Regions from separate parts of the Mus musculus genome. Here all the other regions are reported to be linked to region 2. Evidence: microRNA targets listed by miRTarBase, many of them from high-throughput screens and not tested one by one. Region 2 holds a microRNA gene; each other region holds the end of a gene's coding sequence.

Region 1 (4,316 bases), not on the chromosome of region 2:
CTCCTTTAACACTGGGAAATATCAGCAACCCCCCAACACACATGTACGCACATACACACTCACCACACTGAGGACAGACACATAGGGGCATGGTTTATATCTGCAAATGTATATGGCATGGGGAATATACGTTCGGAACTCAAACTCAGCAGAATCCCATGCCAACGGTTTGATAGCTAACTCAGATGTGGAAAGCACACATTGCTTTCTCATGAACAATATTCATGCTTAGAATCCCCACTGCTGGTTAAATGACAAAAGAAGATGATGTTGATCATCCTGGCTGTCTTCTCAGATAAGATCCAGAACAAGATCGCATCAGCAAGGAACCCTAACAATGAATCTCATGACATGGAGTGTCGGAGGAACTCAGAGTAAAGTGACATCAGTGACGAAGAGAATCCAGAGGCCAGAGGGTCACTCGTGAGTTCACTAGCCTCAGCTAAATAGTGAGTGTGGGGGATGGGGGGGGGGAAGAGGCTGAGGTGACTTAACCCAAACTTGGCCAATTATAAGTCTCATCTGAGGCACTTGCTAGAAACATATAGACATCTCTTCCTTGGTGAGTTTGATCAGGTGAATCCTACCAATACTTAATAAATCAATGATATCAATAACTTGCAGTCACTGAATTAAGTTTCAGGTGCACACTATCAACTGGTGTTTTCTCTGCTAATAGTTGGCATGTAGTTTTGGGGTATTTGAGTTGGTCCCCTCAATGGAAATAGACTTGGAGTGTGTTCATAAAAGTGACAGGACACATATGTGACACTTGCAAATCATGAAGGCAGGCAGGCTAACTACTGCCTGGCAAGTATATTGATTTATAGCTGTTGACTGGTTAACACTCAATGAAACTGTCTGTGGAAGAAACATTACTCTCCATAACTGAGTAAACAAAAGGACTAATTTATTGTATAAGGTAAGCCAATACGTTCTCATGTACTATTGAGAGTAAACATACAGTGTACATAATAAACAGATTTAATATACTGAGAATAAATAGAATAAACATATCAGGGAATAATAAAGAGCAACCCATAGTTACAGCCACATGACTAGCAGTTAAAAAAAAAAGTCAATGGAGAAATTACTTTATTCACTTGGATCTATTCACTTGTTTTAGTGCCAAGGGCCCAAAGATGGGCAGGATATGGTCCTGATCATAGTACCAGATGCTTAGAAAGATCTTTCAATACCTAACCTAGATATTGACGAATCATGAGAAATAGCGGGGGTGGGAGGGTAACCTTTGAGGAAAGCGATCCTTACTCACATGCTGATTCCGTCATTTTACCATGAACTTTTTTGTTTTGTTTGCATTTATTGCTTTTTATAGTTAGAATAAATATGTGTGGTGTTGATTTGGTAAGATCAATATAAACTTTAGCTCTGAAAATAATTGAGATTATTTTCTTTTCTTATGGTTTTACCTACAGTAAAAGCACGTTTCTGTCATCGGAGGTAGCCCAAGCAACGCAATGCCAGCCGGACCGACTGAGATGTCGCCCCTGATTCCATTTGGTAGGTTTTGTTTTGCAGATTATCAGACATTTCCTCACCTCAAGTAAGTAAAAGGTTCAAGGAATCAAAAGTCACTTAGGGTGCACAGGGTGGTGAAGTGGCTACACTGAGGGGCTGCTTCTGTAGGTGGATGCTGTTGCTATGTGAGAAGGAGGGCTTGCTGGATGATAAACATCATGACATTCAGCTCCAACAGAACCTTTCACGCCTGCAGTATTTTAGTAGATTGGTCAGATTTTTATGAAGTACTTTGAGGTTGAACTTATTGGTAATGGCTGTGATCGACTGGCTTTCTGCAAATAATACTATTACTTTCTTCTAACGAAGTTTTAGATACAGAAGAAAATGTAGCTATTTAAACTAAGTAATCTGGACCATTTTTGTCCATATTTATGAACATTTTTCTTACATTACATTCTATAGCCATGAAGGCAGCTTGATATATCCTGATGCACAAGAACTGTATGTAGGTCGTGAAACAGAATAAACAACACGTTAAAATGAGTACAGGAACCACGGGGAAGGAACATGTATTTTCTGTGAAGACCCTTATATGAAATTCAGCAGCGCTCATGTCCACTGGGTAAATGTTACAGAAACTGTGGATGGTGGAACACCAGGGGAGGCAACTTCAGTCAGCTTTGCTTTATTAATTGGCATTTGAATGAAATATGACACTAATATCATACAGACTTCTGGTACGCTCTTCATAATTAGAACAGGACAAATGGTCGAATGCATGATCTCAATGCCTATCACTGAAATTTGCCCAAGTAAAAATAAACCCTTGCTACCTATGTAACTGCAGAGCATGAGATTCTTCTATCTTCCCACAGAGATGCATGGCTGGGAATACCTGGTACCTCTGAGGAATGTGCACATGCCAAGATTAGCATAAAGCCAAGCTATGCTGTGAAAATGTGTGTGTGTGTGTGTGTGTGTGTGTGTGTATGTGTAACAGATAAGGCCATTGATCCATTTTCTTTTGGGTCCTAAATAATATAGCATTTCAGAGTTCAGAGTCATTGCCTGGCTGATAAAGAATTAAACTCTAGAAAACCTAGGTTGCCTATCACTGAAGGACTGAAGCTAACTTGAACTTTCTCTTTGTTGAACAGAGGAAAATGGATACAAGTATAATGTTTTCAAATATACAACCCCTTTTGGTGATCTTTTCTTTTGTGAAGGGTTAGCTTTATAGAGGTACCAAAAATGTGATAGCTTCTTGATGACAGGAAATTATTTAAAAGGGAAAAGTTAAAACCAATATTAATAATGTTAAATGCATAGAAAATATTCTCCTACAGTAGATCATGAATGTGAGTATTTTGTTAGAAAATGAATTTTCTTTTACCCTGCTACATGGGCACATCAACAGCAAGGTCATGCTAGTCTTCCAAATAAGAGTGTGGTAACAGCTGGGTGGTGGTGGCGCACGCCTTTAATCCCAGCACTTGGGAGGCAGAGGCAGGTGGATTTTTGAGTTTGAGGCCAGCCTGGTCTACAGAGTGAGTTCCAGGACAGCCAGGGCTATACAGAGAAACCCTGTCTCAAAAAAAAAAATGATAGTACTAAGAGTGTGGTAACACAGATTACTCATTTTAGCTCCCATGCTTGACACTTCTCTCCAATGGCTTTACCTCTTAAGGCTGCTAGCATGATTTAATGTAGCCTACTTTTCGAGTGTGGACAGATCGTAGTAAATGAACCTATAACACACGTATCTCAGAAACTGTTAAACCAAAACAGGAAATAGAAATCTCAACTCTCCACACAGAAATCCGTCAAAGTTGGCAAAGGTGAAGACCGCTCAGGTGGGCCGACGGTAGGCATTGAAGTACTTGTGCTGTTGAGAGACAATCCTGTCACATGTCTGCACGGACAAACGAGGCAAACACTCCATCTTCCTGGGCCAAGAGGCTTTCCGGGGTGTCGTATTCCAAAATATTTCCTCTCTTCATCACAATAACCAGGTCTGCAGTCAGAATGGTGTGAACCCGATGCTGCGTGAACGTGAGAAACATCGACATTTGCTATGAATTTGAGCACAAGAGCCAAGACGGTGAATATGAATATCTCACAGACTGGTCATGCATGGTTGCTTCTTTTTACTTTGGGTGTACCAAGAAATACCCTTTCCTTGTATGAATTAATTAATTCATTTATATGCTTTTAAATGCCAGCCAGCATGGTGGGGTTTTGTTTGCTCTGTCTTAACTTCAGTGCAGCCATTACTCACTGTTGCACTGAAACTTGACAACTGTACACAGTAATAAATGTGCCTCAGTGAAATGCCAAAGGGAGCCCATATGAACCAGCTCGGTTCTATTTTATTCTTGATTATAGTTAGTTCATGTGTGAGCCCACTAAATACCTGGATTAACAAATAATAAAAAGGACCCTGAGAGACTCTGGTCTGGAAATCTGGAGAAGTCTATTCTGGCATTCAACATTTGAATGCATTATATAGGGTTATTGACCTGTAGTCTCTTAGGGCATTATTCAGAGTTATTGACCTGTAGCACATTATAGCGCCCTTGGGATAGGGGATTTGGTGTTATTTATTAACAACATAACAACATTTTTTTCTTTCTTTCTTTTTTCTTTTTTTTTTTTTTTTTTTTTTGGTTTTTCGAGACAGGGTTTCTCTGTGTAGCCCTGGATGTCCTGGAACTCACTCTGTAGACCAGGCTTGCCTCGAACTCAGAAACCTGCCTGCCTCTGCCTCCCAAGTGCTGGGATTAAAGGCATGAGCCACCACTAATAACTGCCATTTATAAAGCATGCATCCT
Region 2 (4,316 bases):
TTTTAATTTAAAAAGCACTTAAAAATTAAAATGAAACTAAACTTATTTTCCATAGTGCTATGTCCCTAATTTTAAATATTTTCACCTATGAGAAATAGGAATTAGATGAAAGGTTCCCCCTATATCTTCACCTAAACAATGTCCTGTGAAGGTAGCTACAATCGATCTTAGAATCAGAAAATACTCTTGCATGTGCATCTATGTTCTTACATTTACAATGACAGTACTTTATGAGTATCCTTATATTGAGAGAGATACCCCAAACTGTTTAAACTGTTTAAACCCTTTTCTTAAAGAGACTTCCTCCACTGCCAGAGATCTTGAATAGCCTCCTGGTCAGTCATCCGGAAACAATTCTTCACATAATTAATGAACTTGGCTTCCACTTTGGGAAGAGAACCGCCTTTTTCTATACTTGCTTGCATTTTTGCCTTAATGTCTTCTACAGAACTAGGTCCTTTTGGTGTTTTAGGAGTCTTTTCCTGTTTTTTGAAGGACTCTTGACCCTTTGATCTCGGTGTTGACGGTTTTAAGTCTTTTCCATTTTGGTTTGATTTTTGTGCATTTTTGGCTGGGGTATCTCGTACAGATTTCTTCACTGGGACCTTTTCTTCAGTTTCCTCTTCATCAAAATCATCATCATCATCATCCTCATCATCCTCATCATCGTCCTCATCATCTTCATCAAGTTTTACTTTTTTCTGTATCCTTATATTGAGAGAGGTTAGTAGAAAGTGACTGGTATCTGTCCTATATCACAATGCACACACCAAAATGAATGGAGACATATCATCTCATCTGACTCTTGCATTACCAAGAAGTTTCAGGAGTCCTTAACTCAAGTTCTTAGGGAATATATATACTCTCCTTCACTTTCTATCTCTACCACTTCTGGATCAGAGAGATAAAAGTCCTTTAACTTTATTTAATTACTGGGAAGGAAATTATTTTTTTTTTCTTTAGATTATCTTCTTTCTTTACATTCTCTATTTTGAAAGTACCCATGAGGTGAAACATGGATAGTCTACACTATGTTGAAAAAGTAAGGATATGGGGCAACAAAGACTCAAACCGTTTCTGTGTTTAGTCTTTCATTAACACAGTGTACCTCATTTTCTTTTTATGAAAGCATAATTCTTAATTTTAGCACCTTGTTCTCCTTTTCCTTACCTAACATAGATGCTTGAATGCTGTCCCATGAAAGTGATTAAAAAGATACACACAATTGTATAGTAAGGCTTTGTGATCATCCTGAAAACCATTATCAGTGATCTTACATGGAAAGCACTAATACTACCTAGAACCTATCAAAAATAACTGAATTAAAGAGCAGTACTTTACCTGGAAGATTTGTCGGTAGTCCAACTGTCTAACAGCTTCTTGAGTGAGATATAACATAAAGCATGAAGATATGGAGGTATCATCCATGTAGGCTAATCATCCCAAGCAGTTTTCATCACTTCACCAATTACAGCATGACATATTAACATTGATTTATTTATTTTCAACTGTTTGGGAATACAAAATATACTTTGTCACCTTGCATGATAAAGGAAGACCTCTTGACCTATAGCCAGATAGCCAGTGTGACTTTAAGATTAATCAGTGATATACTTTGCAAATGACTTTTAAAAACTAGGTAATGAAAATCTTCTAAAAGAATCAGAATATTGGGAGCATAGGATGAGAATACAACACAATTGTACCTGTATATCGCTGTTCAATTACTGGAGAAAGTTACAGAATACAGAAGATAGGAACTTGGTCTATTTAAATTCAAATCACTGATACCATCATAATTTCAGTGACTTGAATTTAAATCTGTTTGGTTCTTTTTCACTTAGGGCCATATTTATAAAGGAAGACTCTAATTACTTGTAGCTTTTCAGTCCACTTTCGTGCACTCATCATCTAAGTTGTCACAAGATATTTGAATTGATATTCAGTTGGGCCTGAAATCATTGATTGGTTTTATTTCTGATATTTATATTCATGATCCCTATTGAGACTGGCATGCAATTTTCTGTTCTTATAATTTGTATAATTTGGGTTCTGTGCAAGCTAGAATAATGCTAACTTCCACAACATTTAAACTTAAAAAAAAAATGAGAGCATAGTTTCTTCAGGTACAAGGAAGCAGATTCTGGAGCCATAATAAGGATGTATAGTTTCTTCATCTTTACTACCCAAGGCCACAACAAATGAAGAACATGATGAGCTTTACTTTACCCAGCATGGTGGCTTTCACCTACACTTCACGTGATTAGCAACCATGTGAGTAGAGCACTGCCCAGGTACTCTAGAACCAGCCCATCTGAAGTCTTTATTTCAACATGTGAAATAAAATTGAATAGAACATTGAAGTAAGTCGTCAACAATAATTACTTTTTTTTTTTAACCACACATTCTTCTTCGAAGCTGTCTTCTCATGTTCCACCATTAGGATTTTTCTTAGTATACTTCTAAAGTTCTACAACCGTTCTCTTCTCTATGGTTATAGATCTGAAGATATCATGAAGATGGATGAAGTATAATCCAGAATCAGTACATTTATCTTCTCTATGAAGGCATAATATGACCATATGGCTACCATCCCTGCGTTTGTTGAGCCTTACAATACTGAGAGCTGTTGCAGTTACTTATAGAATAAAGTAACTGCTACTTCTCTCAGCATTATAGTGCACACGAATTATTATTATTATCAGCTGACTTCAAAAACAACTTTCATGATTCTTCTCAGTATGACATGAATGCAATGTTATTTCTTTACACATAATTCCTCAGGAAGTATAATCATATTTTCCATTATCTTCCATCTCCATTTCAAGGTATCAGACTTGCTTCTTTCTTGATACTCCTCGAATCTGTATGAATTCAAGAGGTTAAGAATTAACAAGTCATAGCCGGGCGTGAATCCCATCACTCGGAAGGCAGAGGCAGGCGGATTTCTGAGTTCGTTTAAGGCCAGCCTGGTCAACAGAGAAACCCTGTCTCAAAAAAACAAAACAAAACAAAACAAAAATAGAATTAACAAGACAAATATTCTTATAAATATATAGGTCAGGTGACACCAAAGAATAACAAATGAACAAGGCAAGACCTCAAGATACCTGCAATGATTTAGTCATCAGCATCAAGAGAATATATCAAATGAAGGCTTCAGTATGTATTAATCTGTACTTTGAGATAGCATAGACTGATCCTTTGTACTTCATCTCAACAACAACAATTTCATCCAACAGCTTTTATCACAATCTTCACAATTAAACACACCCCCACTAAACTGTGTCTGTAAATGTTTGATTTCACACTTAAGCTGATGATATTGAAAATCCAATTGATTTTGCATGTACATTTCACATAAAAACCTGTCACTACCCTAACTTAAAGAGAAATGATGATCACAACAAAACATATTCTTTTATCAAACTTAATTATAATTATGACCAAAGTGAATATGAAATTGTAAAGGATTAATAAAAATATAATTTAAAAAATGTGGATTTTAGGTCAAAAGTTTTATGGGTGGGTTCGTGTCCTTATCTTTCACAGGAGGTCCTGCCTGTTTATAGGAGGTGGCCTCTTCAGGTTCCATGTCCACATTGTTAGGCATCTCAGCTAAGGTCACACACAATGGCTCCTGGGAGCCTTCCCTATCCTAGGTCTCAGGGTCTGCTTAGAGATTACCTCCACCCGTAAGTCCCCTGCAAGATAGAGATTTCCATTCATTCTCCTGGGCCTATGGGCCTCTTTCTTTTCCCTTCCCACACCTGATCCTGCAAACATATCCCCCTCACATACCCACATTGCTCCCTCTGCCTCCCATGACAGTTCTGTTACCCTTTTTAAGTGTGATTCAAGCATCTTCAATTGGGCCTTCCTTCTTGTTTAACTTCTTAGGGTCTGTGGGCGTATGTCATGGGTATAAGTATGTACATACCATGCATGTTCTTTTCTGTCTGGGTTATCTCACTCAGGATATTTTCTAGTTCCATCCATTTGACTGCAAAACTCAGGATGTCCTCCCTCTTAATAGCTGAGTAGTATTCCACTGTGTAAATGAAATACATTTTCTCTATCTATTCTTCAGGTGAAGAATATCTGGGTTGCAGTATTGCTGAATCTTCAGGTAGAACTATTTACAATTTTTTTGAAAAAACACCAGATTGATTTCCAGAATGGGTCTTCAAGATTGCAATCCCACCAGCAATGGAGGAATGTTCTTCTTTCTTCTCCACATCCTTGCCAGCATCTGCTGTTGCATCAGTTTTTTATCTTAGCTATGCTGATTTGTGTAAGATGGAATCTCAAAATTT
Region 3 (4,316 bases), not on the chromosome of region 2:
TTTGTGGAATTAAATGTAATGAAGTATCTCTTGCTAAATGGTATTTTTAAAGCCCTTTCCCCAACTCTCCCCTCTGAAGTGGAGTGTTGGAGGATGAAGAATGGAGGCTGATTTCTGTGGGGAGATATTTAATACTGACCTTCAGGATGTTGTTAGTAGATACTTGGGGGGCCGGGGGAGGTAGTATAGCCTCTCCCGTTGTAAATCAGGGAAAGCAGGAGAGAGGAAAGCAGAGCTGTTTGTTGAGATGACCCCGTAACACCTGTGTTGTGTTCAGACCTGAGTCTGCTCTGTATGTTCCCCATCCCCCTTTTACTGACTTTAAAGACCTAAACCTAAAACTTTGAGCAGCATTTCCTCAGTTACTGTAGCTTGGTAGTGATCACATCACAGCATATTGGCCCGATGTCCTTCATCAGTTAAGGTTTCTTTCCATAATTTGTTACTTTGATTTTATGAATTTGCATCTTAGATTGTAAATTACATTGTATTCTTTATAGAAGTTAAGCTTGCAATGTAAGGTAGATTTCTTGATACTGGCTGACTGTTGTCATCTCTTACAGGTTTGTGTCTTAGACCTTCGGAAATAGCGTTACTAGTTGGAAGCCATGGACCGACTATGAATGTGTACATAGCCACAAGACTATCCCTGACCCATATACTGCTATAGTCCCACTTGAACCATGGCCAGTCCACTACAGCCAAATCTAAGAGAAATATATACATGCAGTATATATGAACACAGCTGTACCCTGAAGATGACAGTCTCATCCCAGCTTGTGAATTCTGCTCACCAAGTGCTGGGATCTAACCTGCTGTGCCCCTAAGTAGCGTTTAGAAGTTTGGATATGAAAACCAGAAGAGAAGGAATATGCGTTATAAGAGCAAACCACACATGTCCCAGTTTTGAATATTAATGACAGCCTTGTTTCCCCCTTTGAATCAGCAGACACATGGATTATATTCTTTTTCCCCTCAGTAGTGCGCAGTTTGTATGTACAGAGAACATGGACTTAACAAAAGCTTGCGGCAGTAGTTGGTTCTTGCTTCCAAGTTTGTTTTGGTTTAGATTATGGATGCATGAAGTAAGGGAGTGAATCATTATCTTGCTTTTTTTTCTCACCTTTTAAACAACAAAAAAATTCTTAAAAATATTTTACTGCATTCTTTGGAAGAGGTAGATGTTTGGTACATCTGATGGCTCCCAGAGCATATAACTCAATAGGTGCATATTATGGAGGGAATTGGAATAATAGGAAACTACATGACTTCCGTCATGTCACTCTCTAAGACACATCAGCAAAGGGTGTTATGTTATCTTTGTTTTGGGTTTCTGGGTTTTTTGTTTTAGTTCTTTGTGTGTGTGTGTGTGTGTGTGAGAGAGAGAGAGAGGGGTGGGGAGGAGAGAGAGCGCTTAAAATAGTTTCTTTTTGGGGACATATTTCTGCCAATTAAAGACTAGAAGGGCACAACTTTTTTTTTTTTTTAATACCATAAAGAAGAGTTTGGTTTTTTTTTTTCTAAATAATAATCTTCTGATGTTTTGTAGCCATAACTAAATTATGGTTAAAAATGTGCACTATTGTGAGAAGGAGCAACATAGTTTGGGGCTTTTATTTTATTATTTTTATTTTTTATTTTACCATTTGTCTGTTTTACTTTGTTTCTTAAGAGATTAAAATATTTCTGGATAAGGATTAGCTTCTCAAAGTGTCCATCATTCTGTATAGAAGCTTAAATATGTAATGTAACCAGATTCCAGTATTAAAAAATCTCTCATGTTAGTTTTCTTTTTACAAAGCAAGGTTACAGCAGCATATAACACTGCCATTACATGGCTAAATGTTTGCTACCTTAGTTTTGAAAACAGTTTTTAAAGGCTTGCTTTGAGCTATGTTTGGGTAGCAGTGATGGGGAAATTAGGAGAGGTGTGGCTGGAGCTATCCCTCTGCCTGCATATACGGCGCCAAAGCTGCACTTAAGCATTGTAGATCTAAGCTGCTGTTTTGTTTCCACTATAATCACTACTATATCATGTTTTTTACTCTTGTTTATATCAAGTATTTTTTTTTTAAAGATATAGGTATCCAATCAGATTCTTTTTTTTTGGTTTTTTTTTGAGACAGGGTTTCTCTGTATAGTTCTGGCTATCCTGGAACTCACTTTGTAGACCAGGCTGTCCTCGAACTCAGAAATCCGCCTGCCTCTGCCTCCCGAGGGCTGGGATTAAAGGTGTGCGCCACCACGGCCGGCTTCAATCAGACTCTTTATGTTCAGCTAAAAGTAAAATATACCTACAAAGGTTCACCAGAGGCTGTGTTTGTGAAGGTGGTTGACAGGATAGTCGATATTAATGGAAGAACCCAGGAGTGTAGGTTCTGAAGAGAAAGAACAGTTGTCAAATTTATATCTTTAAATTTTTAATTAAGAAATTGCTTAGCAAATTTATAACACTATGTGTGTCAGTAGTTATTTTGAGGCCTTTGGCTCCTGAATCCCACCCTGTGTTCTACGAAACTGCTCTAACCCAGCCCCGCAGCTTTGCTGCTCTGTTTTTGCTGCCTTGTTCTTTACAAAGCAGCGTTGATTGACGCCAGTCTTGGCTTCATTAAGGTAGGGTGGCATTTGCTTTTGGTAAAGAGGATGGATACACTTACATTTTACCATACATCGTTATATCTACCCCATTTTGTTAGTGGGGTCTATGATACTGTAATATTAAGAGTTGCATCCAGAGAGGCAGTCGTCTATGGTTTGTGCCAGGTGTTTTCAGGGTTCTATCACATTGAGACATTTAGAACCCATTGCTCTGTGGCTCTGTAGGAATTCTAAAATGCTGAGTGTCTGCCACTTGAGATTTTGCTTTTACTGCAAGAGGGTCACATCTGTTGGCCTCTGTTGTTGTTTAAAAAAATAATAATAAAAATAAAAAAACTGTGCAATAATTTTTAAACGTGCTCCCAAGAATAGACACAAACTTTTTGAGTATGCCTAAGCTGCATTTCCTTCAGCGATGCATTTGTCAATTGCACTGAATCTGAACCTGAAAGTCAGAGGTGATTGTTGATAGTGCTTTTGTATTTTGATATGGACATTTTATTCATTTGCATACAGTCATTGACGTTCTTCCCAGCTGATTCAAAGACAGTCACAAATTCCTGAAACACAGCTGCCAAAATGACAGCTGAATTTTCTGATAATGTCTTGCTTTCTGTTGGGTGTGTGTTTATTGGTTTGTTTTGTTTTGTTTTATTTTTTTTTTTCCTATTTCTTTGGCTATTTTACTTCAGCACACTAGCTGTGATAGATTGTCTGATAGAAGAGAAGTGCAGAGCTTTGCTGTCCCAAAGCCTCGGGTCTTTCCCTCGCAGATGTGGCTGAAGACATCTACCTTTAGGCTGGTTCTCTGTGAGCGTAGGACTGTGTGCTTTGCTGCTGCTCTCACTGTCCCTGTAGCCTGCTGACGTGCCATGATGCTGCTCCACAGACACCACACCATGTCTTCATCCAAGCAGTCAGATGATCACCAGAGACCACACTTGAGTGTGTCAAGTGCTGTCATGGGGCTCTCTACTTTCCTTCTTGTCTTTTTCTGAGAATTGGCTCTGAAAATCCAGAGTCCAGTAGTCTTTCTATGGTGTTCATTTAGATCATTGTTGTATATGTTACTGTAAGGCAGAGAATAGGAGGCTTAAATGAATATCATTGATTAAAGTAGACTGGAGGGAGCAGCTGCCACCCTTGAAAGGCATGAAGGAACCTGTGTACTCCAGGCAGGAGACCCTTGGGGACTTAGATTTATCCCTATTTTCCATGATCAGGTAACATCATTGAGTTTTCAAATGATTTAGGCGTGGTTACTGGAGTAGGTCTTAGAGTGTAACAGATTGTTTTCCTGAGTTATCCTCTAGGTGAGTATGTTTTAGGACTAAACACCTTTTGCAGATACTGAAAGTGCCTCCTTTTGTGGTATACAAAACAAATTATGGTGCAAAACGTAATCAATAGATTGAATCACATGAAGGGTTTTTTGCTTTTTGACATAAAAATGTCAAGAGACAGGCCAAAGATTTGTACTTTTCACTTATAAAGCACTCCTTTTTTTCCTTAAGATTCTTTCTGTCGATCAGATTTAATGAAAGAGTACTATTTTTAAGGAGCTATCTGTTTATGTAGAATGATTTCGTTAAAAGAGTAATGTAAACTATGAATGAGGAGCAGAGGCCGGCTGAGGACTGGGCCTTTTGCTATTTAAAGAAATCACGGATGACCAGGCTTCTGCAAGCACACCTGACAAGTTTTACTAAATGCATAGG

What was found. The annotated mature microRNA mmu-miR-883a-3p reads UAACUGCAACAGCUCUCAGUAU and lies in region 2 at 2,617-2,638, opposite strand. An mRNA with a match to its seed (bases 2 to 7 or 8) in the 3' UTR can be bound and repressed. Matches are read on the target gene's strand: a 7mer-m8 pairs with bases 2 to 8, a 7mer-A1 pairs with bases 2 to 7 and ends in A, and an 8mer does both.
Region 1: the mRNA of Abcc9 is a reported target of mmu-miR-883a-3p. Seed matches in the 3' UTR shown: 8mer at 2,324-2,331.
Region 3: the mRNA of Tbl1xr1 is a reported target of mmu-miR-883a-3p. The part of its 3' UTR that is shown has no 7-base or 8-base seed match.

What each region holds. Positions count from the first base shown.
Region 1 is chr6:142,586,977-142,591,292 of GRCm38, forward strand. Abcc9 (ATP-binding cassette, sub-family C (CFTR/MRP), member 9) reads right to left here. Exons shown (of 40, transcript NM_011511.2): 40 at 886-3,527. The coding sequence ends at 3,390. Among named protein-coding and RNA genes, the nearest start is that of Kcnj8, 18 kb to the left of the region's middle.
Region 2 is chrX:66,778,152-66,782,467 of GRCm38, forward strand. It overlaps Mir883a (microRNA 883a), which reads right to left and starts at 2,682; the gene lies at 2,607-2,682. It overlaps Mir742 (microRNA 742), which reads right to left and starts at 2,286; the gene lies at 2,222-2,286. It also overlaps the pseudogene Gm14681.
Region 3 is chr3:22,209,838-22,214,153 of GRCm38, forward strand. Tbl1xr1 (transducin (beta)-like 1X-linked receptor 1) reads left to right here. Exons shown (of 16, transcript NM_030732.3): 16 at 564-4,316. The coding sequence ends at 590. Among named protein-coding and RNA genes, the nearest start is that of Tbl1xr1, 140 kb to the left of the region's middle.